Linked DNA regions of Mus musculus: all the other regions are reported to be linked to region 3. Evidence: microRNA targets listed by miRTarBase, many of them from high-throughput screens and not tested one by one. Region 3 holds a microRNA gene; each other region holds the end of a gene's coding sequence. Distances are between the middles of the regions.

Region 1 (5,104 bases), 82 Mb from region 3:
CGCTGCGTGTCCACCTCCTCATCCAGCGGCAGCAGCAGCGGCAGCGGCGCCGAGGATGCAGACGACCTCATGTTCGACCTGAGCTTGAATTTCTCCCAGGGCGCGCACAGCGCCTGCGAGCAGCCACTGGGCGCGGGAGCGGCGGGGAACCTGTCCCTGTCGCTGGTGGATAAGGACCTGGATTCCTTCAGCGAGGGCAGCCTGGGTTCCCACTTCGAGTTCCCCGACTACTGCACGCCGGAGCTGAGCGAGATGATCGCGGGGGACTGGCTGGAGGCGAACTTCTCCGACCTGGTGTTCACGTATTGAGAGGCGCAGGGCTCCTCGGGAGGCAGTCGTGGCGGTCAGGATAAAGAGGATGGTGGGGGGAGGGGGAGAAGATGCTCATGGTCAGAGAGATGTGGCGCTGAGAAATTGGAAACGGTGATGAAATGTTGTTGGAGTTAAAGTGAAATGAGTAGTTTTAAACAGATTTTCCAAGTTTTTTTTTTAATTTTTATTTTTAAAAAATTTTTTGGTCTCCCCACTCTTCCCGTCCTTTATCGTGTCTCAAGGTAGTTGCACACCTAGTCTGGAGTTGTGATTTTTTCCCCACCCGTAAAAAAACGTGTTTTGTAATTTCTATTTCTTTTTCCTGAAATTCGTGATTGCAACAAAGGCAGAGGGGACCGGGCGGGGGAGGGGAGGAGGCCCCGCTCCGGAAGGCGCTGTTTGAAGCTTGTGGCTCTTTGAAGTCTGAAAGACATCGGCAGAGGACCCTTTAGACGGCACAACTGTTACTCTAGGGAGTTGATTTTTTTTTCTTAAGAGATTTAAAAAGGAACTGGTGATTTAAAAAAAGAAAAACACAAAAAGGGACCATTGCAACCTTTTTATTTTATTTTCTTTTTTGGAGGGAGAAAGCTGATGTCTTCTATGCATCCGATTTCTTAAACTGCAGGGAGCTTGAAAAAATGCAGTCTGTACAAACGCTTACAAAAATCATAACTGTGAACTGACTTAAGACCAGAGTTTACTTTTCAGATCAAATTGTTTATGGTTTTACAAATGTGATTTCTACTTGGCAACCTTTTTTTGGTAACTCGTTCCCTTATACCTCCTTGATTGAATACCTTACAGCCTAGACCTCAGTACAAAAAGGTATTGAAACATTTTTGATACATAACAGACCTCAATCTTTTTTAAAAATTAATATATTTTCAGGCGTATTTTTGTACAGTGAAAAGGGAACAATCTTGCTGTGTTTTTTCAGTAAGACTTTCAGGCACTTCTTCCCTTTTGATTTCTTTTTCTTTTTTTCTCTTCTTGTTTTTGTTTTTCTTTTTTGTTTGTTTTTTTAGCATGCAAATATGTTGGTACGTTATGTCCTGGTTTAAAAGGATTAAAAATTTAAAAGTAATCCTTGCATCTAAAGGCCTTGTGGTTTAAAAAAAAAAGCAAACTTTTTTGTACAGCTATAGTAGAGATTTGTTCAATATTTGTAGGTAAAGATTTATTGAAAATGGTGACCTAGACCTCAGAGCTGTTCTTAGTTTAAGACTGTATGTACTGTATCATAGTAGGACCTATGTATCTCATCGCTGTGATGTGTGGACGGGGCCCCAGACAGAAGGTTTGAAACTGGATACGCGATTTTTATCAAAAAGAAAAAGGAAAGGCACATAGTTTAAAATTTTCTCATTTTGTGCAATATAATTAAATAAACAGACCATTGCATATTTAGTAGCAAATGGTGGCGAAGCAGACTCAATGCACTGTCGAAGTCACCGCCGGGGTTTTTGGGTTTTTTTGTGTGTGCTGAAGTCTGTGTCTTGATTTTAATAAATCAGCAGGATCGGATAGAAGCTCGCATGGCCCTTAGTCTCTCCCGGGAGCCGCGTGTTCACCGCGCAGCGGACGCGGGTGGCGGAGGGCGGATGCCGCTTTTTGGAGCCCTTAGGCTGCCATAGGTTGCAGCCCGGTGTCCTCCCTTCTCACCCCGCCCTGCGTCTCCATCCCCGCCGTGGGCTTCGCGCTGGTCCGTGCCTGGCGAGTCTGGAGCTAGTGTCCACAGGGCTAGGCCTCCGCTTCTGGCTTTGGGTTTTTTCTGTTGTTGTTGGTTTTTTTTTTTTTTTTTAAATCTCCACCCCCATCCGCGGGCGGCATCGCTGCGCGCGCGCGCGCGCGCTCAATGAGATACGAGTGGAGAGGGCCGCGCCCTTCAGCGTTATCCACGCGGGTGGGGCACGAGGAAAGCAAATGCGCCTAGAGCCGCCTTCACGGTGCAGGATGGCTTTGGTTTCTTTGATGGAGCATTTGCCTCCAGGGGCCCGGTCCAGCCCTCCCCTCCCCCACTGCCCCCTCCCCCCCGCCAGCTTGTCCCTCGTGGTGTCCCGCGCGCAAGCCCAACTCCCCAGGGCCGCGACGCACGCGACCGAGGAGCCCTTCAGCAGTGAATTGAAACTCGGTGCCCAACAGCCCGACTCTAGACCCACAGAAACCATTACGGCGCGGGCGCTGACCGCGGGGACTTGACCAGTAGGGATCCAGGTCGGTGCCCCACGCAAGACAGGCACTGCAGATAGAGAGCTCGCCCTCACGGAGCAGCGCGATCTCATAGCGCGTGGGTGGGGCGGCGACCCGGTGTGGCTTTTTCGGGCTTCCCTCGCCCACCCCTCCCCCACAGCGCCCTGCTGTGAGCCACGCGGGGACCTTTAAGCCGCGAATAATTTCACCAGCGGTTTACTGGGGACAGATTCTGAAGCCTAAGGAAAAGGCATTCTGAGTGTCTTGAGTTCTTAACATTTGCATGTGTTCCCGTTTCCCGTCGGGCGTTTTCCATGGTGAGGAAGGAACTTTTAAATAAATTAGAAAAGGAGTGAGGATCTGGCTTCAGAATGGAAGCATAGCTGCAATTTGTATTTTAAAATTATGTGGCCGAGTTTCTTGGTAGGAAAAGAAGAGACAGTTCTTGGTTGGAGATCAGGAAAAAAAGAAATCTTTTCTTTCTTTCTTTTTTTTTTTTTTTTTTTTTTTTTAAATCCCAGTTAGAACTCAGGAAAGGCGCTTGAATGCGCTTTTAACAATATTTAAAGCGGTTTCGACGAATGCATTGTGAAGACCATTCCCAGTGAACTCTATTGAATGTCTAATACACAAGGTATTCCAGCTACTGGCCAGGCTTCAATAAAAGGTTAGCTGCATTTTTTTTCCTCCTAAGTAAGTCTTATTTTTAACTGAGCATTGACAGTATCTTAAAATGGTAACGTGGGCGTGGGCGTTGTGTGCATAGCAGTCTAGCCGGTTGGGTACCCTGCTCCTGTACCTAGTTCACAGACTCGAGTGCATTTTTTTTTGGCGAGATTTCCATCTTTGAAGAAACAAAAAAACAAAAACACCTGAACCAGCGTTCTCTTATTCTTTAAGCTGTGGAAATAATTTCCAGTTTCTACATTCTCGATATGCATCCTTATTAAAAAGATAATACGAATGAAAGGCAGTGTGCTTAAAGTGTGCTTTGCAAATACATGTTATGAATGACTACGGTCACTGGGCAAATTATTTGTAGAATGATTAGCCTTTAGCTAGAAAAAAAAAATCATTGCAGCTCTTTTGGGCCTGGATGGTTCTTTTTAATGTTAATGGAGGGGAAGTGATTTAAATATGCATGCTCTTAGCAGTCAGGATCTGACTTAGTTGTTTTGAGAGAAAAAAAAATCAAAAGGCAAGGTCTACTTTTTTTCTCTGGGAATTGAAACCACAATCATCTTGATACTAGAACAGTGTAAGAAATGAACATTTGTTCTTCACTTCAGAATTCAAATGAGTTTTGCCCAAGGAATCTGGGAAATAAGGCAAATAAGTTGCTCAATTTTCAAGTAGTCATTCAATAGAAATATACTCCATCACTCGGCTTTCTTATTCTCTGATGGGGTATTCTGTATAGTCTCACTGTTTTCTCCTAATGGGCATATGTATCTTTGTGGACACTTGGAAGAGAGGTTTTCTTGTACTCTCTCATTTCTAGAATCTTTATACTCTTTTTCCTGCAAGGTTCTCTGCTTTTAACAGATTTCTGAGGCAACTATATTTGTGCTTTTTTCTTATGTAGGAAGACCAGCGAAACTAGCTTACTGAGTTGTCGATTTTATCAGTAGATAAAGAAACTTTGTTTATTACAGTTTCAGGGAAGGTTTTTCAGGATATTTCTCAGTTATTCTAAGGGCCAAATTTTATATATAAAAAAAAAAAAACTTCATTAGGAATGTCAGTTTCAGATACCCTTTGTATAGCCTGTGGCCTGCAAGCACGACAGGACTGAGCCTTACATGTGTCCGAACAGGAATTCATAAGTCCCCAAAGTAAACGTCTCCATGTAACGATTCTTGACGTGTTTCTCTGAGAGTTGGCTTATTTTGATTATCAATTCTTTCTCACTGTCCATTCCTATTGATTTATCCTGCCATATCTCTTTGGGTTTGATGAGCTCAACATTTTTTGCTCTTTGATAACAACTCAGGTTTTGGTTTGGGGTTTTTCATGCCCCCTTTGTGTGTTGCTTATGTTTTCCACCACAGTATAAAAGTACTGAAGCCAAGCCACTTCCCATTCATTCCTTTACTGCTGCCTCCCTTTCCCCAACTCCCAACTCCTAACACACCTTCATTTTTTTCCCATCGTCTTCTTCTTCTTCTTTTTTTTTAACACTACCTAGATGCGTTAGCTGCCTGATTAGTTTATCTATTCCATGTGGATGCAGTGAGTTTATAAGAGAATTTCACAAACAAGTAGTTTTTTAGTGAACTTAAACAGAATTTTAAAGGAGACCTATTTTTATACTCAATAAAAGCACAAAACGTGCATAAAATATAGCATGGCGTACAAAGGGAAATCCACTCATAACGTTCCATGTATAGAAGTAATAATTTTCTTGGATAGCGATATTCTTTGAAGACCCAGTGCCTGTCTGCCTGTGCCCAGACAGGGTGGTTTCCACACACTGGGAACTTCCGGTTGCCGGCACTTGACAAACACAGTTCACCACAGCCACAAAGAGCAATAGGTAGGAGCTGAGGTGTGCCTCCTGATGAGCAGTCGGCCACTAGGCAACCTGGATGTGCCCATG
Region 2 (5,104 bases), not on the chromosome of region 3:
CAGAAAAAAATCCAGCTCACAGCCATCCCCGGCCTCTGACAATCTGCCTTCCCACTTCTGGGTTTGTCTTGGATAGGCAGAATGTGAGGTGAAATGCCTGGCTTGGTTTGCAGAGCAAATCCAAGTTTCAATATGCAGAGCACAGTGCTACCCACCAGTTAGCTGAAGGGCAGTGAGGTGGTTAACTGAGTGATTTTTCTCCTTCACAGCTATTTGCATGCAAAGAACATCATCCACAGAGACATGAAATCCAACAGTATCCTTTGGTATTGAGTTCTCAGCTTAAGGACCCAAAAGGGCCTTTTTGCACACATGGTTCATGGTGCCAGAATGGGGAGAAGGGGACTTTTAAAGGAAAATAGAAATATAGTTGAGAAGCCAAACATGGTGATCATGAGAGTTCCTTAAGGTTTTATTATTATTTTTTTTAACCAACAGTGATCTGGAAATAATTCCTTCTGAGGCGATACACACTTGAAATAGACTTGAACTCAGCCTGGTTAGATTATCCAGAATATAGCTTGAGAAGGTTATTGCATCTATTTCTATTGAGCCTATGGAAGGTGTAAGCCTGCATACAGATGGGAAAGTATCTGATGCATGTATCTAATACCAACAAGTCATAAGTGATTGCTGCCTCCTGCTCACTTTTCAGACCAGCATAATGTCAGCCATATAGTAGACCAATGTGATATTTTGTAGAAGAGACATGAACAAGATCCCTTCAAACTAAGTTATGACACAAGGCTGGAGAGTTAAAGGTTTACTGTTGATCTTTCTAATCAAAAGCAATTGCTTCTGGTGGTCCTTATGGACAGATACCAAAGAAAAAGGCATTTGCTAGGTCAGTAGCTACACATCGTATATCAGGAAGTATGCTAATTGCTCAAGTAAGGACACCACATCTGGTATAGCCTGTCACTTTTTACAGTCCATCTGTCTTCTGTACTGGCCATGAATCACCACCCCTGCATCTTTCAAGTCTTTGATGGTAGCACTGATTGCTGCAATTCTGCCAGGGATGTGACACTTTTGGTTCCCATCCCTGGCAGAGACCCTGCTAAAGGCTTCCATTTAGCTTTTCCCAGGGGAAACAGTTTGAAGGCCCACTGTAACTATTGTGAGTCAGACTTCAACCAAAATTCCACTAATCACCTGACCTCCTATTTTTAACTCAAAGGACACAATATTTCTTAAGGTCTCCTGGAATTAGCATCTTAGAACCAGTATCCCAGAATTCCAGAAATTTCAAAATGGCTACTTTCTGTTAAATGTACAGAAGTCAGCCTAGAGGCCACTGTTAGAAATAGCATCTCCTTACCAACTGCACCTTTCATGCTGTAAGATGGCACATGGCAGGGTGGTTAAACTCAGCTGTTCTGCATGGCCAATGAGCTATGCTTATTCGGTGGCCATGACCTCCTTTCTTGAGGTCATTCTTTTTCGGCAGCTAAGCACTGGGCCAAGATTTAAGGCTTGAATTCCAATAAATCAGCAGGTCACAAATCAGACCAAAATTGCCTGTTACCTAGCAGTAAGCTGACAGAAGTCACAATGTAGACCAGTTGGGTGGTAAACCTGAGTACCAAATGTAGGCAGAGGGGATAAGCAGTGTGGGGCCCTGTAATTGAGTGTGCGCATGCCATCGTTCCCTGTCTCCTGAAAGATTTAGTAGTGAAGTGAAGGAGGCCAGAAGCACTGTTATAAACAGTATAAACTGTCAGTCTCCTTAACAAGCATCGAGATATATTTCTCCATGAAGGCCTCACGGTGAAAATTGGAGATTTTGGTTTGGCAACAGTGAAGTCACGCTGGAGTGGTTCTCAGCAGGTTGAACAGCCCACTGGCTCTGTGCTGTGGATGGTGAGGAAGCTGGCCCCACACAACATGATGGAATTACTGGGCCAGAGTAGGGTGCAAAATTTGACAGCATTTCTGCACAGCCATGGGGGTCTGGTTGATCTGTGGTGTCAGTTAGCTTAAGGCAAAACCGCATATCCTGGCAAAGCAACAGAGGCCAGCGCCTGTGGGGTTTTGTGGGAGGAGCTACCCTGGGCTAAGGACTTGAACTTCCTTCCTGACTAGTTAAAATAGCCTGGTTCCTCAATGTCTCTGGAGGTCATTCCCTAGGGATTAACACACTTCATCCTTACAGGCCCCAGAAGTAATCCGGATGCAGGATGACAACCCGTTCAGCTTCCAGTCCGACGTGTACTCGTACGGCATCGTGCTGTACGAGCTGATGGCTGGGGAGCTTCCCTACGCCCACATCAACAACCGAGACCAGGTGATCTGCATGGCCGGGCGACACAGTGAGGGGCTACTTAGTCCTGGGACTCTCCTTCACAGACTCCTTTGTTCAACTGTTTCTTCTTTAGATCATCTTCATGGTAGGCCGTGGGTATGCATCCCCTGATCTCAGCAGGCTCTACAAGAACTGCCCCAAGGCAATGAAGAGGTTGGTGGCTGACTGTGTGAAGAAAGTCAAAGAAGAGAGACCTTTGTTTCCCCAGGTTAGAGAGCTCAGTTGAAATATAACATTCTAAGGATGTAAATGTGGGCCAGGATTGGGTCGGTGGAGAGAGGACCTCCACAAGCTCTTGGTATGGTTGGGGAGATACCAAGTTTCCAACTAATGAGACCACGTGGGGCCTTGTTTCAGATCCTGTCTTCCATCGAGCTGCTTCAGCACTCTCTGCCGAAAATCAACAGGAGCGCCTCTGAGCCTTCCCTGCATCGGGCAGCTCACACTGAGGACATCAATGCTTGCACGCTGACTACATCCCCAAGGCTACCAGTCTTCTAGCTGATGATGTAGCTGTTCTTAGGCCACCAGGGGACGAAGAAGAGTCAGCAGGCACCACTTTCTGTTTCCTTGGGGGCAGAATGCATGTTTTTGGAAAAGCTGCTGCTGCTAAGGACCTAGACTACTCACAGGGCCTTAACTTCATATTGCCTTCTTTTCTACCCCTCCTGCCCTGGAAATGGAAGCTGTCCACCAAGAAAGCCTGCTCAGCTCCAGAGGTATACAAGTCAGCTGAGTATTTGTAGGGCAAGTGGCCTTGGAGAAGGTAGGGCACTCCGGCTGCTGCAGGGACATGCAATTGGGAACTTGGCTCCTTGAGCCTATATGGACAGTGGTGCAGTGCCAGTTTTGCACATGGAGTCCTGGCCACCTGGGGGAGCCTGCTTTGGTACTACAGAACTTTGTGGACAAACTGTGTCTAAGGTGTCCTGTGTGGATGGCTTTCCAAGCGCGGTGCTCCACCTTTGGCAGCCTCCCACGTGCTGAATCTGTCTTCCAGGAGCTGCCCCTATGGGGTGGGCCGCGGCCCAACCCTATCTGTAGCCACATCCTTGTCTGTAAGAAAGCCAGGAATACAGGTTTTCTTAATGATTTTGGGTTTTAATTTTGTTTTTATTGAGCCAATACAGTTGGTTCCTTATGTTATTTTAATAAAATAAATTAAATTTAGGTTTAATGGCTACTGACTCCTTCAAAACTTGCAGTGCAGTTTCTTGTGCAGACAGAACTCAAGGAGCCCCCTCTGCAGTTCATGAACAACCAAGTGAAAAGCACACAGGTAATAACAGGTTTTCTTATAAAAATAAATTCAGGTTCAGGACAAATTTGCTCTTTCTTGCCCCCAGTTCTTAGACAGAGGAGTGACTGCTCCTGTTTACCACAAAAACAAGTGTGGAGCCTACTACTTTATAGGGGAGAACAAGCAATCTGTGAGTCCTGTGTCTTGTGCTCTTAGTACAAGGGGAGGGTAAGATGGAGTCTCCCTGGAGATCTTCACAACTGCACACACCTGTGACTTGAGACACTGGAAGGAACTCAATAGCCACCCTCACAGCTGTAAAAGTCTACACTATGGTACAGCAGCACCAATATGGCCAAATGTGTTCTCACTACACAGCTGCATCAATTCCAAGGCTCGACAACTCTATTAGAGATGATCACTGCAGAGGAGCCTTCTACAGGGCTGGCGATGTCTTGGCAAGGAAAAAAAAAAAAAACCAGATCTGCTGCAAGTTTACTGTTGCTTAAGGAAGAAAGTCACAAAAGAAAGATGGCAGTCAGGTTTCATTTAAAAGCACTCAATTAAAACAGCTGGACCACATAGCTGGTCCCGGAGAAAGGGGTTGGAGGTACAACTGAGAGCTCAACTCTAAATGTAGTGATTCTGTGGACGTGGTGATCTCCCTTCCCTTCCCAGGGGGACTCACTACTGCACTCACATCCCAGTACCACGTCACCTCGGGTCGGTGACAGATGCGTCCACACCGTGCCTTGGAAAGTTGACTGCAGAGCCAAATGAAGGCGTCAGCACTGACTAGGGTTCTGATGATTCTACTCCAGAAAGGTGCATGAAGAGGTCTCCTAGCTCTGTCACATCCACATCGTCAGTGCTGGGGACTTGCCGGGTTTCTCGGTTCTCGATAAAATCCCAAAGCCGAACTGAGTTAAAGAACTGCAAAAACAGCCAACAAGCACCCCTGGGTCAATGGAGATAGCAGCAGACGATGAGTGCCAGCTTGTATTTTGCTTATGCTGACTCCTGTTCTGCTGCCAAAGCTACTAGGAGCCTGGGCAGTAAGCACCCAGGAATGCCCACTACTTACCCTCACAGTGCCTTCAGAGCTTAGCTGCTTCCGAGGTTTCTCTGGCTCTGCCAGCCGCCCATCAGGGTAAGCATGACGGTAAAGGCACTTGCTTCCAAAGGGGCAGGTCCCCTTGCCTTGTTCAAAGTATTTGCATGCCTTCTTCCTGAAAAACACAAAATCAGAGGCTGATGGAAAAATGGAATTAAGCGTGACTACTGTGTTCTGGCTACATTACCTCTTTTCCACTGGGGAAGCCTTGCTGGAGAAGTGAGGTGGCCTGTTGACCTCACAGTTGGTACTCTGATTCTCAAGCTAGGCAAAGCTGCTGGGATGCACTGTGTGGAGGCGGCAGTGCTTAGGAGCAGGGCGCCCCACCCCCACCCCATCCCTGAGCTCCAGTGCTGCACTAGGGCTGAGTGAGGCTTGGATAACTCCAGCATGCCGAGGTCTGAAGCTGGTTCACTTGCTCTGCTCAGGTCTCCAAAGCAAGTGA
Region 3 (5,104 bases):
CTGTGTCTAGGTGCCTGGTCTCAGATGGGCCTTTGGCCCCTTGTGGGCCAGGTTTTTGGGTGACTCTTAGGTAGCTTATGTCTCTTGGAAGTAAAGAAAGGGAAGCCAGGGGCCTGGCAAAAAGGGAATGCTTAGATTGTGACTAAGCTCTAGGCTTGCTCCAACTCAATGTCACCCTGCCTCTTGAAGTAGTGGGCACCTAATACTTGCTCCATGATGAAGTAGGGAAGGCTAAGTGAATGTGGATAGGCCGGTGACTAGGAGGTCTTTAAGGACTTTCCCCAGGATCTAGTCAGCTACAGGACACCCTTCCTGGTAGAAACACTGCTTTGGAGATATTATGTCCAGAATAAAACTTTCTGAGAGCTAAAATGTCCTCATTGACATTTTGACCTGAGTGATCCTGAAAAGGAGTTGTTTGGCAGTTCCCAAATTCTAAGGTGGACTTGGCTGTGCCCATATCATCACCGAGGCCCCTCTCTCTGGGTGAAAGGAGATTATTTCGCCCCCAAAGCCTTTGTTCCCACCATTGGTGACAATCAGCACTGACTTAGAAGTTACCTGTGAGATTTGGGTACAGCCTCAAGCACCTGGCAGACTGGGGAGATTGGACCCCTTGAATTCTTCTTTTCTACAGAGTGCTCCGTAGGCACATGGGTGGGGGAGGGGTTCCCAGGGTCTTACCCATTTGGGCATCAGACCTGTTTTTGTTTTTTGTTTTTCTTCCAACTGAACCTTGAGCAGCTTGCCTGAATCATCCCCAGCCTTAGTTTCTCTTCCTGTACAAAGGGTGTCATTAGTGACTGCCCATCATATGGTGGCTCATGAGAATCAAGGTCTGAGTTCTGGTCATCCTTGTCCCTTGTGGAACGTGTGGTGGCCTTGGCTGTTTGCCATATCCTAGAAATAGTCAAACCAACCTGGTTTGATTGGGGGATTCAGTGAGGTTTTTTTTGTGTGTGTGTGAAAACGAGTGTTTTGTTGCTTGGTATGCAGGTGCTCATGTCTGCTAACCCATACTGACTGTTGTGGAGGTGGGCCCTGGGTACAGATGTACCTTAGTTTCTGAAACTTCAGGTCCATGTGAGACTCGGACAGAGTGGAGGGCAGGAGGGTAGCACCTACCCAGCTCTGGAGCGACATAGAAAGCCTTGCTTTCAAATGTTAGGATTCAGCAGTTTTGATGGGAGGCTCTGAGATACAAGACCAGGAAGACTATTAAGAACACCCCTCTAGGAGGGCAAGGCCAAAGTCTTTGGAAAACCACCAAGGTTTAATAGACTGTGAATTGGCTAGAAGTCTTGGGGGTGGTATGAGAAAGATGGAAAATCCTAGAATAGGTTTTTATTTATTGGAAAAGTCAGGAGCTGGTGTGTAGGTGTTGCCCCACCCCCATGGCTGTCCAGAAGTTGGGCCTTCTACATAGCTCAGGCTTTCTGAGCACAGGGCTGGGTTGCCCCCTCCAGTTCCTACCCTGCCTAGTGCATGAAAACTCTTTATCTGCCATGGGGATGGGGAGCAGATGGCTTCATCTGCAGCTGTGTCTCTCTCAGCCTCTACAGCCACGGGGACGCCTTGCACATTTCCTGTGGGACATGCTGGACCCAAGACTCTGGACCCTGGCCTCCCCTTGAGTAGAGAGACCCACCTACTGACTGATGAACTGCGCTGACCCTGGGGTCAGGCATGTGGCCTTGATCCCTACCCATGGACCCTGAGACTTGGGGGGGTGGGAGAAAGGCTGTTGTGTCTTCACTGTTGAGTCTACATCTGTGAAATGGGCTCAGGTTCCTACCTCACAGGGCTGTTGTGAGGCAGCCGCAATGTGCTTAGAAGCATGGGGCCTAGTGGCTCATGGTGCTTTCAATAAATTTCTTGTTTTAACTAAAGCAGTGATGGGTGTGCTACTAATACGAGGGAGGGTGGGTGTCTTGCTGGGGCTTCCTTTTGTAGTGTAGTGGGGTAGAGGAGTTGCCTCAAACCCCAGAAAGTCACCTTTGTGCTGCCCTGTGTGTGCTTAAGAGATGGATACACTGGGGCCCGATGAAGGGCCTGTGCTCGGTGGGTTTAGGAGAACCCTTTCCTCGTGTGCTCGGGATGCCAGTTTCCTTCTGGAAATGAAGCCATGCAAGAGCTGTGGGAGGTCTGGCTTTGGAGCCTGAGGGGCTCACAGCTCTGGTCCTTGGAGCTCCAGAGAAAATGTTGCTCCGGGGCTGAGTTCTGTGCACCCCCCTTGCCCTCCACACTCCCCGGGGCTATGCCAGGGCCCTAGCTGAGGCGTCATCTTGACCCAGATGGGTGGTCCCATTGGGACTTGGGGCCAACACAGCTTCTACAAAAGTGGTTCCTGAATGGGTCTGAGTGAGTGCTCAGACATTCATGATGCCTGGCATCAGGTATGCTGGTTGAGCTTGGGGAGGTGAGCCCTACCCTCATGGCTTTTGAGAGGCCTTGGGGGGACAGTCAGGCTGCCTGAGCAGCTGAGAGGAGGGAATTGGGAGCAAGGGGATGGGAAATGGAGCTGAGTTTTGGTAGAGCAGATGGTAACACGAACATTACCCCAGCAAAGAGGAAGATGACAGTCATAATCACTACAGCTGCCACATGTCTACCAAGACCACAGTTGCCACACAGTGACCAGCATCTACTAAGATCACTGCTGCATTGCCACTGCCACCGCCACCGTCACCCCTCCCCTTCTCTCCTCTTCCCTCTTTTCATCCTTTTTCTTCCTCTCCTTCCTCTTCTGACTTTTCTTCTTCCTCTGCCTCTTCCCTACACGTCTTTGCTTTTTCTTTTGATTCTTCATCTTCCCCTTTCTTCTCTCTCCTCTCCTTTTTTCCTCCTCTATCCTTCTCTTTCTCCCCCCTTCTGTCTTTCCTCCTTTTCCCACTTCCTCATTCGCACCGAGAAGCACCTGGCAAGTGCAGCTGCATGCTCTTCTGAACACCCCCTGCCAAGAGCACCATCTTCAAGACTTGGGCATGACCCAGCCTGGAAGAGCCAGTACCAGCCATGATGGGGACTTTGGCATGTGTGATTGAGTCGCAGTGCAGACAACCGTGAGAAGACATGCCTCCAGATGCTGAGCCCAGCCGAGAGAGTCCAAGAGCCCAGAAGAACTCTTTGAAACTCAGGCTTCCAGAGTGAGTGCCCTAATGCTGCGTTACCGAAAAGGCCTCCACTTCAGCTTCTGATGGAGCCCAAATGTCCAGGAAAAAAAAAAAGACCTTTTTGATATTCCCAAGAAAATAACTCATCTCCAGCTTTCAAACAAGCCTCACATTTTGTCAGTGTCTCTAAGTGGAGTTCTGTGTTTATAGTCCAGCCCTGAGTCCCAACCCAGCCTCTGATGAGGATACCCAGCTTCAGGAGTCTGCTCATGTCCTTGGGCCAGCACATCAACTCCAGTCTCTGACAGACTCTGGACATCCAGGGTAAGCCCTTTTGATTTGTCAGAGCACAGAGCCCAGCTTCAGCCTCTGATGGACCTCAGGGACCAAGAAGGAGGGGCTTTCTTTTGTGATGTTCTAGACCTGGGACTCTAACTCTCGCTCATGTGTTCAGTCAAGCCCAGAAGACCAGAAAGAGGTAGTTCTTTGATATTCTAGTGCCAAGCTCCAGCTGTAGCCTCTAAGAGAACTCCTATGTCTAAAGGAAGTCTTTCATAGTCTAGACCAGTCACCACCAAAGCATAAACATCTGGAAACTGTTCAGTTTTCTAGCGCCAGGAATCCACCTCCAGTCTCTCACAAAGCCCAAATGTCCCAGAGAAATGGACAATATAAAACTATAACTCAACGATGGTTCTTGAAGAAGCTCAGAAAAAGAGACCGCCTTGATAATTTTGATCTAGGACTCTAGCTTGTTTGTCTCCAGTGAAGTTTGTATGTGTAAAAAGAGGAACCTCTTTGATTTTCTAGAATCAAGACTCAATCTCTCTCTGATGAACTGTAGATATCCAGGAAGACTGGCTCTTTTGTCGCTCTAGAGCTAAGACTCTGGCTCCATTCTTGAGTGATGTTCAGATGTTCACAAATATGGATGCTCTTGAGGGAGAACTAGTGTGAGAACTATACCTTTAGTCTTTGATAAAGCTCAGAATTCCAGAACTAGGACCCTCCCTCCAGCTTTTGAAGCTCAGATGTCCAGAAAGTGGGACCTCTTTAACGTTTCAGACCTAAGAATCTACCTCCAGCCCAGAAAGAGGGACTCCTCTGATGCTCCAGACCTAAGACTCTACCTCCAGCCTTTGATGAAACTCAGATGTCCAGAAAGAGGGACCTTTCTGATGTTCCAGCACTAGGACCCTCCCTCCAGCCATTGGTGAAGCTCAGATGTCCAGAAAGAGGGACCTCTCTGATGTTCCAGATCTAGGACCCTCCCTCCAGCCATTGATGAAGCTCAGATGTCTAGAAAGAGAGTCCTCTATGATGTTCCAGTTCTAAGAATCTACCTCCAGCCTTTGATGAAGCACAGATGTCCAGAAAGATGGCCCTCTCTGATGTTCCAGATCTAGGACCCTCTCTCTAGCCTTTGATGAAGCTCAGATGTCCAGAAAGATGGCCCTCTCTGATGTTCCAGATCTAGGACCCTCTCTCTAGCCTTTGATGAAGCTCAGATGTCCAGAAAGATGGCCCTCTCTGATGTTCCAGATCTAGGACCCTCTATCTAGCCTTTGATGAAGCTCAGATGTCCTGAAAGAGGGACCTCTCTGATGTTCCAGACCTAAGAATCTACCTCCAGCCTTTGATGAAGCACAGATGTCCAGAAAAGAGCATTCTCAATGATGTTATAGACCCAGAACTCTATCCATCTATAGCCTTTGATGACGTTCAGACATCCATAAAGAACTTTCACAATGTACTAGAACCTGGACTCCATCCCCACTCTCTGATGTCCAGATATCTAGAAAGGGGACCTCCACTCTGTTCAGAAGCTAAGCTCCACCTCTAATCTTTGATGCCCAATTATCCAGAAAGAGGACCCTTTACGATGTTCTAGAACAAAGACTGTACTTTTCATTTGCTGATGAAGCACAGATGCCAGAAGCACAGAAGTCTAGAAAGAGGGTCCTCCTTAACATTTTTGAGCTAGAATCCCG
Region 4 (5,101 bases), not on the chromosome of region 3:
ACGCGGAGCGCCGAGGGGAGCGTGTCCCGGGCCGGTTGGTACGCGAGGTGGGTTTTCGGGGAGCCCCCACCCCCATATCCTGCAGTGTAGTCGGCTCCCGGCCACTCACTTCCGGCGAGAGGCCGAGCGTGCTCTGGATTCGGCCGCGGGATGTGGGCGCAAGCTTGGCACGCCGGTTGCTCGCTTCCCGGGTCCGGGGCTCAGCGACCGCGGCTTTCGTGTCATTTCCTCAGGAGGCACCATGTTCCTCACCGCTGTCCTCCTCCGCGGCCGCATTCCGGGCAGGCAGTGGATCGGGAAGCACCGGCGGCCGCGTACCGTGTCTTTCCAAGCGAAGGAGAGCATGATCCGTCGCCTGGAGGTGGAGGCCGAGAACCACTACTGGCTCAGCATGCCCTACATGACAGCAGAGCAGGAGTGCGGCCACGCCGCGGAGCGACGGGCCCAGGCTTTTGAAGCCATCAAGGCAGCGGCCACTTCCAAGTTCCCTAAGCATAGATACATTGCAGACCAGCTAGACCATCTCAACATCTCGAAGAAATGGTCCTAACCCTTCAAGATTATGGATACCGGACTGCTCTATCCTTACTTGGTCCTGGAGCTGAGAAAATGTAATTTATGTACCAGTGTGACCCCTTCGACCAGTATCTTATTAAAGCAAACATGATTGATTAATAGTTGTCTCATACGGAATACTTGGGACCCTACCTAGGCGTTTGTTTCACACCTGTAATCCCAACATTAAGAGGTGGAGGCAGGAAAATCTTTGCTGATGTAGTTAGTAAGACCTAGACTCAGAAGGCCAAAAGAGACTGTTTGAGGCTCCATATGTGCATAATCGGTCTATTTTCAGGGTTGTTTTTTATTTTTTCTGGCCTAAAGCTTGCAGCAGCCCTCCCTGTGCCTAGCTACTGGAATTACAGGCATGGTTCCCTGCCCTTCTGTAAAATGTGGGGTTTTTTTTTTTTTTGTTTGTCTCACTATATAGCCATAGAACTTGCTGTATAGGCTAGGCTGGCCTTGACCTCCGAGATCTACTGGCCTCTGCCTCCCAAGTGCTGTGACTAAAGGCAAGTGCCACCATACCTTGCACCTTTTAGATTTAAATGCTGTAAAACTACAAACTGATGAGTCTTAAGGCTGAGGTACTTGGCTAGAGCTTTGTTGTACAAGGGGTGTTTTCTTACTTTCTGTCTAGGATAGCCATTCTCAACCTGTTGGGCATGACCCCTTGTGGTGGTTGCAGAACCCTTTCATGAGGCTGAGTATCAGAGATTTGTATTATGATAACAGCAAAATTACAGTTGTGAAGTAACAATGAAAATAATGTTATGGTTGGAGTCACCACAACATGAGGAACTGTATTAAAGAGTGTAAGGGAGGTTGAGAACCACTGCTCTAGAATAGAGCCTGCCTTTGATTTCACAGCATTCTGTAAGTGGAAGTAGGATCTGAAGTGTTAGGTCAACTTCCATGCAAATTTGAGGCCAGCCTGAGATAGATGAGACCATTTCCCAAAAGAAGAGTGTTTTCTTTTAGAATTTGGATTCTGTGAGTGGACGTGTGAAGTAAAGATGTTTACTAGAACTGTTAACAGGAAAATTTCTGTTTGTTTGGTTTTTTGAGCTCGTCTATATTGCCCACCTTAGCCTGGAACTCCTAAATGGATACAAACAGTGCAATTTTTTTTTAAAGTTTGTTTAAAAACACCGTTTTTGGTTTTTTGTTTTTTTTTTTAATGTTGTTGGTTTGTTTTTCAAGACAGGTTTTCTCTGTGTGGCCCTAGATGTTGTCAGACTCACTCTGTAGACCAGGCTGGCCTCAAACTCATAGAGAACTGCCTTCCTCTTGCCTCTTAAGTGCTGGAATAAAGGTGTGTACCACCACCACCTGTGCACACAACTTTTTTGAGTAGGTCTGTGTAGGTTGTTGAACTTATGGACTGAATTGATCCTCCTGACCGAGTCTCCCGAGTTTCTGGGTCTACAGATGCAGAGCAACTTGGGATTTTTTTATTATTAATATATTTTTTTTGATTTTTCAAGACAGGGTTTCTCTGTATAGTATTATTTTTTTAATACAGATCTTACTGTATAGTCTTGGCCTCAAATTTAGATGGGCACCGATCTCTGTCTCCCTAGTGCTATATACTACCATACCCAATCCTTTTTAATCTTTTGAGTTGGTGATTTCATAAAGTTACCAAGAGAAAAAAGTACAAGTCCATTGTAACTATAACCAAGTAACATTTTTCCTCTAACCATATCAAAACCTAGAAATTGCTATACTCTGTAGAGCTTTGCATATGCACCCATGTTTATGTGTACAAGTCTACTTAGTTGTCATATAACCATGGTTCCATTGCTATAGCATCCTTCATTCTCTTTGTAGAAACCTGACTTCCCCACTATTGTTCATCTCTGTTTTTGGGAAGAAGGATCTGTAAGTAAAATAATTTATATTGGCTTTTTAAAAATGCATAATGTAATTTATTTCCTTTGCCATCCATTCTGGTGGTTACATTTTTCAACGATTTGAACTTCCTTTTTTTAAATGTGTAGCCCAGGCTGGCCTTGAAGTCAGTGATCCTCCTGCCTCTTCCCCTCAATTGCTGGGATTGTAAGTATGCACCACCATGCCTAGCAAACTTGCTTGTTGACTGCATTAGTGTATCATGGGCCTTTTTGTGAATCTATACAGATCCCATATTTCTATTACATGCACAATAATATAGATATGCCTGTTAACATCTATTGGTAATGGACATTTATTTTTTTTTCTCCAATAAACCTTGCTGTCAAGCATGTCAGTATACATGCATTCTTAATGACTACAGTGTGTGGAACAGTCTTAAAAGTGGTAATGAATCCTTTGTACACTGCCACTGTCAAAATGGTGTCCATTAATACTGTACCACTTTATGCTCAGCAGTAACACAGAAGATACTAGTGAATTTGTTTCTTGCTGTACTGTTTATGGTAGCAAAATTAAACAGTGAAAGAAGAATAAAGTATGATCCAGAGACTGCTGACCTACAAATAGTCACTGTCCTCCAGTGCTGGGATTATAGGAGTTTTTTCAAACTGTACTTCCAGCACACACAAAACATCTCCAAAACTTTGAAAGGGCTACATGATACAGGCATCACTTTCATTTGAAAAGGTTGAAGCCAGGCGGTGAGGGTGCACACTTAATCCCAGCACTTGGGAGGGAGAAGCAGACAGATCCCTGAGTTCAAGGCCAGCCTGGTTTACAGAGTGAGTTCCAGGACAGGCAGGGCTAGCTGTCTGCTTGCTTACCATGTGCAAAGGCCCAGGCTGGAGGCCTAGAACAGGAAAAAGACTAAACAAAAAAGCCAAGAAAAGGCTGCTGGTAGCTAGTTTACTCTATGTCCAGGCTCACTAAGAAATGATGAATCTTCCAAATACATGGCTTTTACTGCCAGTGGTCAAATGAAGTAAGTCATAAACCAAGGTTTTCTGGTTAAGTTTTTATTTTTCCCCCTTGAGACAGTCTCATTATATGGCTCAAAATGAATTTGAGCAACCCTGCATCAAGTCCCCAAGTGCTGGGGTTACAGTTGTGAGCTACCACTTCTTACTCCATGCCCATATCCCAGAGCTCACAGCAGTCTTGGTTTCCCTCACTGGCCACCCAGCATTTTGTCACCTCAGGCCTCCCTTACCAGGGAAGCTAGGGCCTATTCCTGCTGCTCATCCATTCTCGGGAAGGCACTCAATAGCTGCCATTTTCCCAAGGATGTACTTCATTTGTTTTTTTTGTTATGTAGTCCTGGCTGGAACTTACTATGTAGGCCAGGCTGGCCTTGAACTCATAAAAGTCCAGGTATTTACCTCCCAAGTGCTGGGATTAAAGGCCTGTCCACCACACCTGGGGAGTGCTCCAATTTCGACTCTACAAAATCTTTTAATGGCTTCTTGGTGTCTCGAGTGTAACAGACATAGGTCTTCCTCATTTACTGCTTTGTAAAAAGCTCTCCAAACAACTAGCTTTCTCTATCATTCCTGTATAAATTCCTTCAGGTATTGATAATTCAGAGGTTGCATCTCAGGGCTGCATTTCATCAATGCTTGTTTTTTTGTTTGTTTGTTTTTTGTTGTTTTGGTTTTTTGAGACAGGGTTTCTCTGCATAGCCCTAGCTGTCCTGGAACTCACTTTGTAGACCAGGCTGGCCTCGAACTCAGAAATCCACCTGCCTCTGCCTCCCGAGTGCTGGGATTAAAGGTGTGCGCCACCACACCCGGCTATCAATGCTTAAGTCTTCATATACTCAAAATGTTTTCCTTTGATTACTACCATAACAATTTAGCTAATTTTTGGACTATTTATTACATTTGTGTGTTTACACATGCACAAGCTACTGTGCACATTTGGCTTCCTGAAACCAAACCCAGGATTTCAGCTTGGAGGCAACTGCCTTTACTTCAGAGCTATCTTGCTGGCCTAGACGTTTTAAAATAACCGAAAGCCCTGTAGAATGTATGGGCTATGTGAAAAAGGCAGTGTCTCCTCACAGGTCGCTCAATGGTCTAGCATCTTGTCACCATTGATACAGACCAAGACCAATTTTTTTTTTTAAACCAACATAGGCACCTGGTAGAAGAGTATAAAAAGAAGTGGCAGCTCTCAACTCGAAGCTCTCTTAGGGGTTGGTCAAGCATGTTTTAGACACATCACACAAACAGTAGTGGAGTCAGACACACAGCACTTCAGTCTTTTGTGGCTTCTAACAGTACTGTAGAGGTTTCTTTTTTCCTTTTAGGGGAGACAATGCATTACCACAAATTTCAAATCCGAGTTTCACACATTTGAGGAAACTGCAGGGGTCAGCACATACAGATGGCAATGGATAAGCCTCACCTTGGGAAAACCATCTTCATGATCATGGTAAAAACTCTCTGCCAGATAAGTATATGTAATGAATATTCTTATGAAGTACAACTCCTGAAGATAAGAAAGAACTAAAGAATGACCACTGCCAAACCTATCTGCTCTGCCAAGACTACTAAAGGCACTAAAACATTAAACTCTGACCCTTTAAAATTATTTTTAATTGTGTGTTGTGTGTGTGGGCATATGC
Region 5 (5,104 bases), not on the chromosome of region 3:
GAGTCTAGAGTGGTTTGGTTATGATTCAAGAAACAAAGAGTTAGACCTGAAAAAAATGTATGTCTCTGTAAGTATTCAACTTCCTATTTGTAGGAAGGAGGGAGTAGAACCCAGAAAAAGACCCAGAAAAAAAAAAAAAAAAAAAAAAAGCAAGAGTTAAGCTGAGGGCTGAACCTGTAACTCAGTTGGTAGAGTATTTCCCTAGCATGCACAAAGCTCTGAATTTAGTCCCCTGCGCTGCATAAACCAGGAATGGTATTGTATACCTGTATCCCAACACAGTAGGAAGCCCAGAAAGGAGGATCATAAATTCAGAGTCATCTCACCTACATAATGAGTTCAAGGCTGGTCTAGGCTACATGATACCCTATTAAAATAAAAGCACCTCCCCGAGTGTTCTGAATCCTTCCTTGGAAGAATGAAATCCCCTGCTTTCATTATTTTCTAACAGCCTTGATGAGGGGCTACTCTTCTTTTCTGACTCTTTCACTTTCTAAGGACAATGGAATCCCACTACCTCCCAGCTCCTTACCAGTGACCTGTCCCAGTGTGAGAGATGAATAAAGTACATTATTACAGAAAAAAAAAATACTGAGGGGTCTCATTATGTAGCCCTGCTAGTCTAGAACTCACCATGTAGACCAGGTTGACTTCAGACTCAGAGTGCCAAGGTTAAAGGTGTGTGCCACCTCACCCAACTTGAAGCCATTTTTTTAATTTAATTCAAATCTAATTTTAAGTGGAAGTTAGATGGTGACACCATGTAAATGTAGCATTACTATTCTTAATTCATTCCTTATGGATTATCTTTCATGCCTTAGTTTCTGCCACAATGTTTTTATGCTTATATTTCTGCTAATTGGTTCTGGTGATGGGTTTCTGTCAAGCAGCCATACTGACATGAAAACGTTGTGCTTGCTCTGTTCTGTTTCTCCTTAGGGCCCTAATTCCATCATGATTGTCCTGGTCATGCTGTTGAATATTGGGTTGGCCATTCTTTTTGTTCACTTTCTGACTTGATTGGAATTAGGACAGGTAAGCATAGCCTTAATTTCTACACATAATCATAGTAATATCGTTTTCTCTAATTCCAATTTACAATTTCTTTTAAACAATGGCATTGTCCCTCACTTTAATTTTGAATGTGACTCAGTATGGTTACTTAACTGCTATAACTGTTTCGACTCATCAGTGAAGTCATGACAACTAGTAGAGTTAGCCCACAGTTCTGCCTTGGTGTCCACATCCCAGTCCGACTCAGACACAGGCAAGGACGCTTAGATCGGGATGGGATCACAAGAGAGATGAAACTTGGAAAATTCAGCCAGAGGACCTTTCACGTCCCCCAGCAATGCTTTGTGTCTTTGGGGTCCTCTGAGAGCTGAAGCACCCAGCATGGTGAAAAGCAAAACTTAATAATGATTCTTTTTAAAACTTTTTAAAACTCTGCTGAAGCAGCCCCATCCGGCGAAGTTCTCGACGTTGGCTACTCCATCTGTCCTAGCAGAATGTGACTAAACTGGAAATGTATGGACCTGCAGATTTTTTTTTTTTTTTTTGATAGAAGTCAACAGCTGCCTTACTATTTTACCATCTGACGTTTTTTTAGTAGGGAGCTGGAGAGAGAGGACTGCCAGAGGAATGCAGTCTGAGGATTGTGTTGCGGTGGGCGTGGCTCCAACATTCACTCCTATCTCATTAGAAGTAGGTAGCACCGTCACTCAGCAGTCTTCTGCTGTGACCTGCTGCTTTAACATCTCCTGGAATGTTCTGGAAGGGAATGTTTCATTTGCTTGTGCACGACTCTGCTCATTTCTGCTGTTGATTTAAATATGATGTATGTCATCTTCCACCTGCAGTCCTGGCTGGATGAGAACACACTGGAAAAGCAGCAACAAAAGACTAGTTTATATCTATATATATCTATATATACATATATATATATATATATATATAAAATGTATGTATGTATGTATATATAGTGTTTATTTTAATAGCAATGCATTGTTTTCATGTTGTTTATTCTTTTTAAACCAATAAAGGGTTACTTATCTTTAAAATATAGTGATCTGATGGTATTATACCTTCCAAAGAAATAATTTAATTTTAAATATTTTTAACATCATTGAGGTGAGTTGTTGATGCACTCAGGAGGTGTTAAGTTTTAAAAGCTGAAGGACAGACAACCGAATACTAAGAAGTGAAGTCAAAATGTTGCTTGGATTGCAGTAATCAGTGGTTACGGGTTCAGTTTCATTGCTGACGTACGTTACAACCAAATAAAATCTTGTCAGTGGCTCTATTAATTCCCATGAAAGTTAAGCAAGATCTATTAATAGCTACTCTTCTCTTTCTCCACCCCACCCCCAACGCGAATTTTGGTTGAATGCCTTCAGGTGTTTAAGCTTTGTTAAGTCACTGCCCCTTCTCTGCCTTCAATGTTTTTCAAAGTTGTTTTGTAATTCTATATTAAATTTTAAAGACTTAGACGGTTTTATTTTAAATATTTGTCTTTTGCTGTCCTATATCATTCTGATATTGATTTTTTTCTATTAAATAATTTATTCAGAAGCATGCTTACTTAGGGAAACTACATGATCTTTATAAAAAATAATTATTTAAAAAGAAATCAGGGTAGGAAAGGTATGTCTGAGTCTCTTAAAGGCATTACCTGGTGGAGGGGGAAGTCTTCCTAACTTTTGTCCATGGTGTCATGGTGTCAGCCGAGTCTCTCCCTTAGGAGCCTTTGCAGAGCAGAAGGGACAGTGCGTGTCACTCCACTGGCAGCACAGGGGAGGACTGAGTGCTTCATCACCTTCTGGATAGTAAGCCAGCAGTGGCTTCTCCAGAAGGGCGATATATTGAGACTTTAGGGTATGACCAGTATGGATTAAGGAAGAAGGCAGAAAGAGAGCAAATAAAAATCAAATTACAACTTGTATATTTATTTTTTACATTTTGCTTTGACTTTTAAATTTAGGGAGTCCATTTTTACTCAAGAGCAAGCTAAGTTCCTCTGTCGTCCCCACAGTCTCCCTGCCCCTTCCTCCCCTGTAGCTCCTTATGCTGGGAAGGCTGGGTTTTTTGTTTTTGTTGTTGTTGTTGTTGTTGTTGTTGTTTTTTAAGAAAATAGACTATTTAATATTATTAAGTGTTTATTTAAATGTGTAATGCTTTGAAAATAATGGGCAACAGAGAACTAAAAGATGTTTATGAAGTGAGCTTGTTGGCTACATTTATAAATATATATGATTTATAAGCTTTTTTAAAACAATGCTCAAATTGTGGGTATTTTTCTAAAATGTGCACAGTTGTATTTTCCATGAAGGATCTTTCTAATGGGTTGTTATACTGTACTCTACATTTTGGACAGCACGTGAAGTCTGCCAATGTACTTAATAAAACATGACTTTGTTTATTTAAAGTTTCTTTCTGTGAAAAAAAAAAAAACCACCTCCCTACTGGTGGGTTCCTTAATTTATAATCCTTGAAACCAAAATGTATAATGTACAGTTTGTACAACTGTAACTGCCCTAATAAAAATGTTGGTTATTAATAAAATTGGAAGTGTCTTTCCTTTGTGAGTAAATTATTGACTGAGGTGTGGGGAATGTTAGAGATGATAGTATTAAAACAGAGACCTTGCCTGATGAGATGGCTTAGCAGGTTAGGAAGCTGTCAAGTCTAATGACCTGAGTACCCACATGATAGGAGAAGAGAACAGAATCATGAAAGTTGTCTTCTGACCTCCACACATATACCATGGCATGTGTGTGTACACACTCATATGCCTACAATTAAAGCAATTCAATAGAAAAACTTACAAAAGTTATGTGCTGAAGAATTACAGTAGAAGGGGGGAAAGGCCAGTACAACCACGGGGCAGAAAGAAGGCATACTGCTACACTCTGTCTCCTTGCCTTTTATACTGGGATTTTTCTCTTCTCTCTCTCTATTTTTTTCCTTTTATTTTAAATAGGATATTTTCTTATATAATATATCCTAATTATGGTTTCCCTCTACTTCTCCCAACTTCTCCCCTCCAATCCAGATCTCCTCCCTTTCTGTCTATTAGAAAAGAATGGGCTCTAAGAGATAGTTTAAGATAAAACAAAATTATCACATCTAAGTTTAACAGGACAAACCTGCAAAAGAAAAGAGCCCAAGAGAAGGCACAGAAATCACAGAGACCCATTCACTCATTTGCACACTCAGGAATCTCATAAAAACACTAAACAGGAAACCATAATATATACACAGAGGACCTGATGCACAGGTCCTATGCATGCTGCCTCAGTCTATGTGAGTTCGTGTGAGCTTTGCTCATGTTGACTTAGAGGGTCTTGGTTTTTTTACTGATTTCTTGATCCCCATCCCCTCTAGATCTTACACTCTGTCTCCTCCCTCTTTCTCTGGGTTTCCTGAGCTCTGAAGGGAGGTATTTGATGGAGACGCCCCATTTAGTGCTGAGTGTACCAAGGTCTCTCAGTCTCTGCACACCTGGCTATGAGCCTTTGTATTTGCCATCTAATGCAGGAAGAAGCATCTCCCATGGCTGGACAAAGAACTGCTCTACGAATATAGCAGAATAGGTGTTTTCTAGGGAGGTGGTTGGTGCGGTTGGTTGGTTGTTTCGTTGGTTGGTTGGTTGGTTGGTTGGTTGGTTGGTTGGTTGATTGGTTGGTTTCTTTTGATTAAGACTAGTATTTGGATTTACCCTAGGTCCCTGGACTATCTAGTCTCTGGTTCTTGCTCACCCAAGCATAGTTGGGTGTGGGTTCTATTTCTTTAGTCAAATCAGTTATTGGTTGGTTACTCCCACAGGCTTTGTGCTACCATTGCAATAATATATCTTGCAGGCAGGACACCATTGTAGATCAAAGTGTTTGTGGCTGCCTTGGTATTTTTGTTTGGTTTGGTTTGGTTTGGTTTGGTTTGATTTGGTTTGGTTTGGTTTTTGATAGTGTGCTGAGTATGTTCCTGTAGTAGAGACAACTAGAATAGAGGGTTGGAATCTATATGTTGGTACCAACTCAACTTCTCTATGTTCAGTGAGTTGTGTAAATATTGTCTTCAGCAATGGAGCTTTGCTGTCAGCTTGTGG

Evidence for each region. The annotated mature microRNA mmu-miR-673-5p reads CUCACAGCUCUGGUCCUUGGAG and lies in region 3 at 2,167-2,188, shown strand. An mRNA with a match to its seed (bases 2 to 7 or 8) in the 3' UTR can be bound and repressed. Matches are read on the target gene's strand: a 7mer-m8 pairs with bases 2 to 8, a 7mer-A1 pairs with bases 2 to 7 and ends in A, and an 8mer does both.
Region 1: miRTarBase lists Sox11 as a target of mmu-miR-673-5p. Seed matches in the 3' UTR shown: 7mer-A1 at 988-994, 7mer-m8 at 1,580-1,586 and 7mer-m8 at 2,672-2,678.
Region 2: miRTarBase lists Mkrn2 as a target of mmu-miR-673-5p. Seed matches in the 3' UTR shown: 7mer-m8 at 3,855-3,861.
Region 4: the mRNA of Mrpl57 is a reported target of mmu-miR-673-5p. Seed matches in the 3' UTR shown: 7mer-m8 at 1,058-1,064.
Region 5: miRTarBase lists Jph1 as a target of mmu-miR-673-5p. Seed matches in the 3' UTR shown: 7mer-m8 at 1,735-1,741 and 7mer-A1 at 3,433-3,439.

The regions. Positions count from the first base shown.
Region 1 is chr12:27,336,426-27,341,529 of GRCm38, reverse strand. Sox11 (SRY (sex determining region Y)-box 11) reads left to right here. Exons shown (of 1, transcript NM_009234.6): 1 at 1-5,104. The coding sequence ends at 309. Among named protein-coding and RNA genes, the nearest start is that of Sox11, 3.7 kb to the left of the region's middle.
Region 2 is chr6:115,616,968-115,622,071 of GRCm38, reverse strand. It overlaps Mkrn2 (makorin, ring finger protein, 2), which reads right to left. Exons shown (of 8, transcript NM_023290.3): 7 at 4,630-4,774; 8 at 3,402-4,478. The coding sequence ends at 4,341. It overlaps Raf1 (v-raf-leukemia viral oncogene 1), which reads left to right. Exons shown (of 17, transcript NM_029780.4): 13 at 210-256; 14 at 1,745-1,863; 15 at 2,156-2,287; 16 at 2,379-2,513; 17 at 2,663-3,503. The coding sequence ends at 2,806. Among named protein-coding and RNA genes, the nearest start is that of Mkrn2, 18 kb to the right of the region's middle.
Region 3 is chr12:109,569,838-109,574,941 of GRCm38, forward strand. Mir673 (microRNA 673) reads left to right here and starts at 2,153; the gene lies at 2,153-2,243. Meg3 (maternally expressed 3) reads left to right here. Exons shown (of 10, transcript NR_027652.1): 10 at 1,554-1,892. It also overlaps a transcript of Rtl1 not described here.
Region 4 is chr14:57,826,276-57,831,376 of GRCm38, forward strand. Mrpl57 (mitochondrial ribosomal protein L57) reads left to right here. Exons shown (of 2, transcript NM_026401.2): 1 at 1-47; 2 at 234-2,470. The coding sequence starts at 242. The coding sequence ends at 550. It also overlaps a transcript of Ska3 not described here and the pseudogene Gm22738. Among named protein-coding and RNA genes, the nearest start is that of Mrpl57, 2.6 kb to the left of the region's middle.
Region 5 is chr1:16,993,395-16,998,498 of GRCm38, reverse strand. It overlaps Jph1 (junctophilin 1), which reads left to right. Exons shown (of 5, transcript NM_020604.2): 5 at 940-3,561. The coding sequence ends at 1,020. Among named protein-coding and RNA genes, the nearest start is that of Gm46085, 100 kb to the left of the region's middle.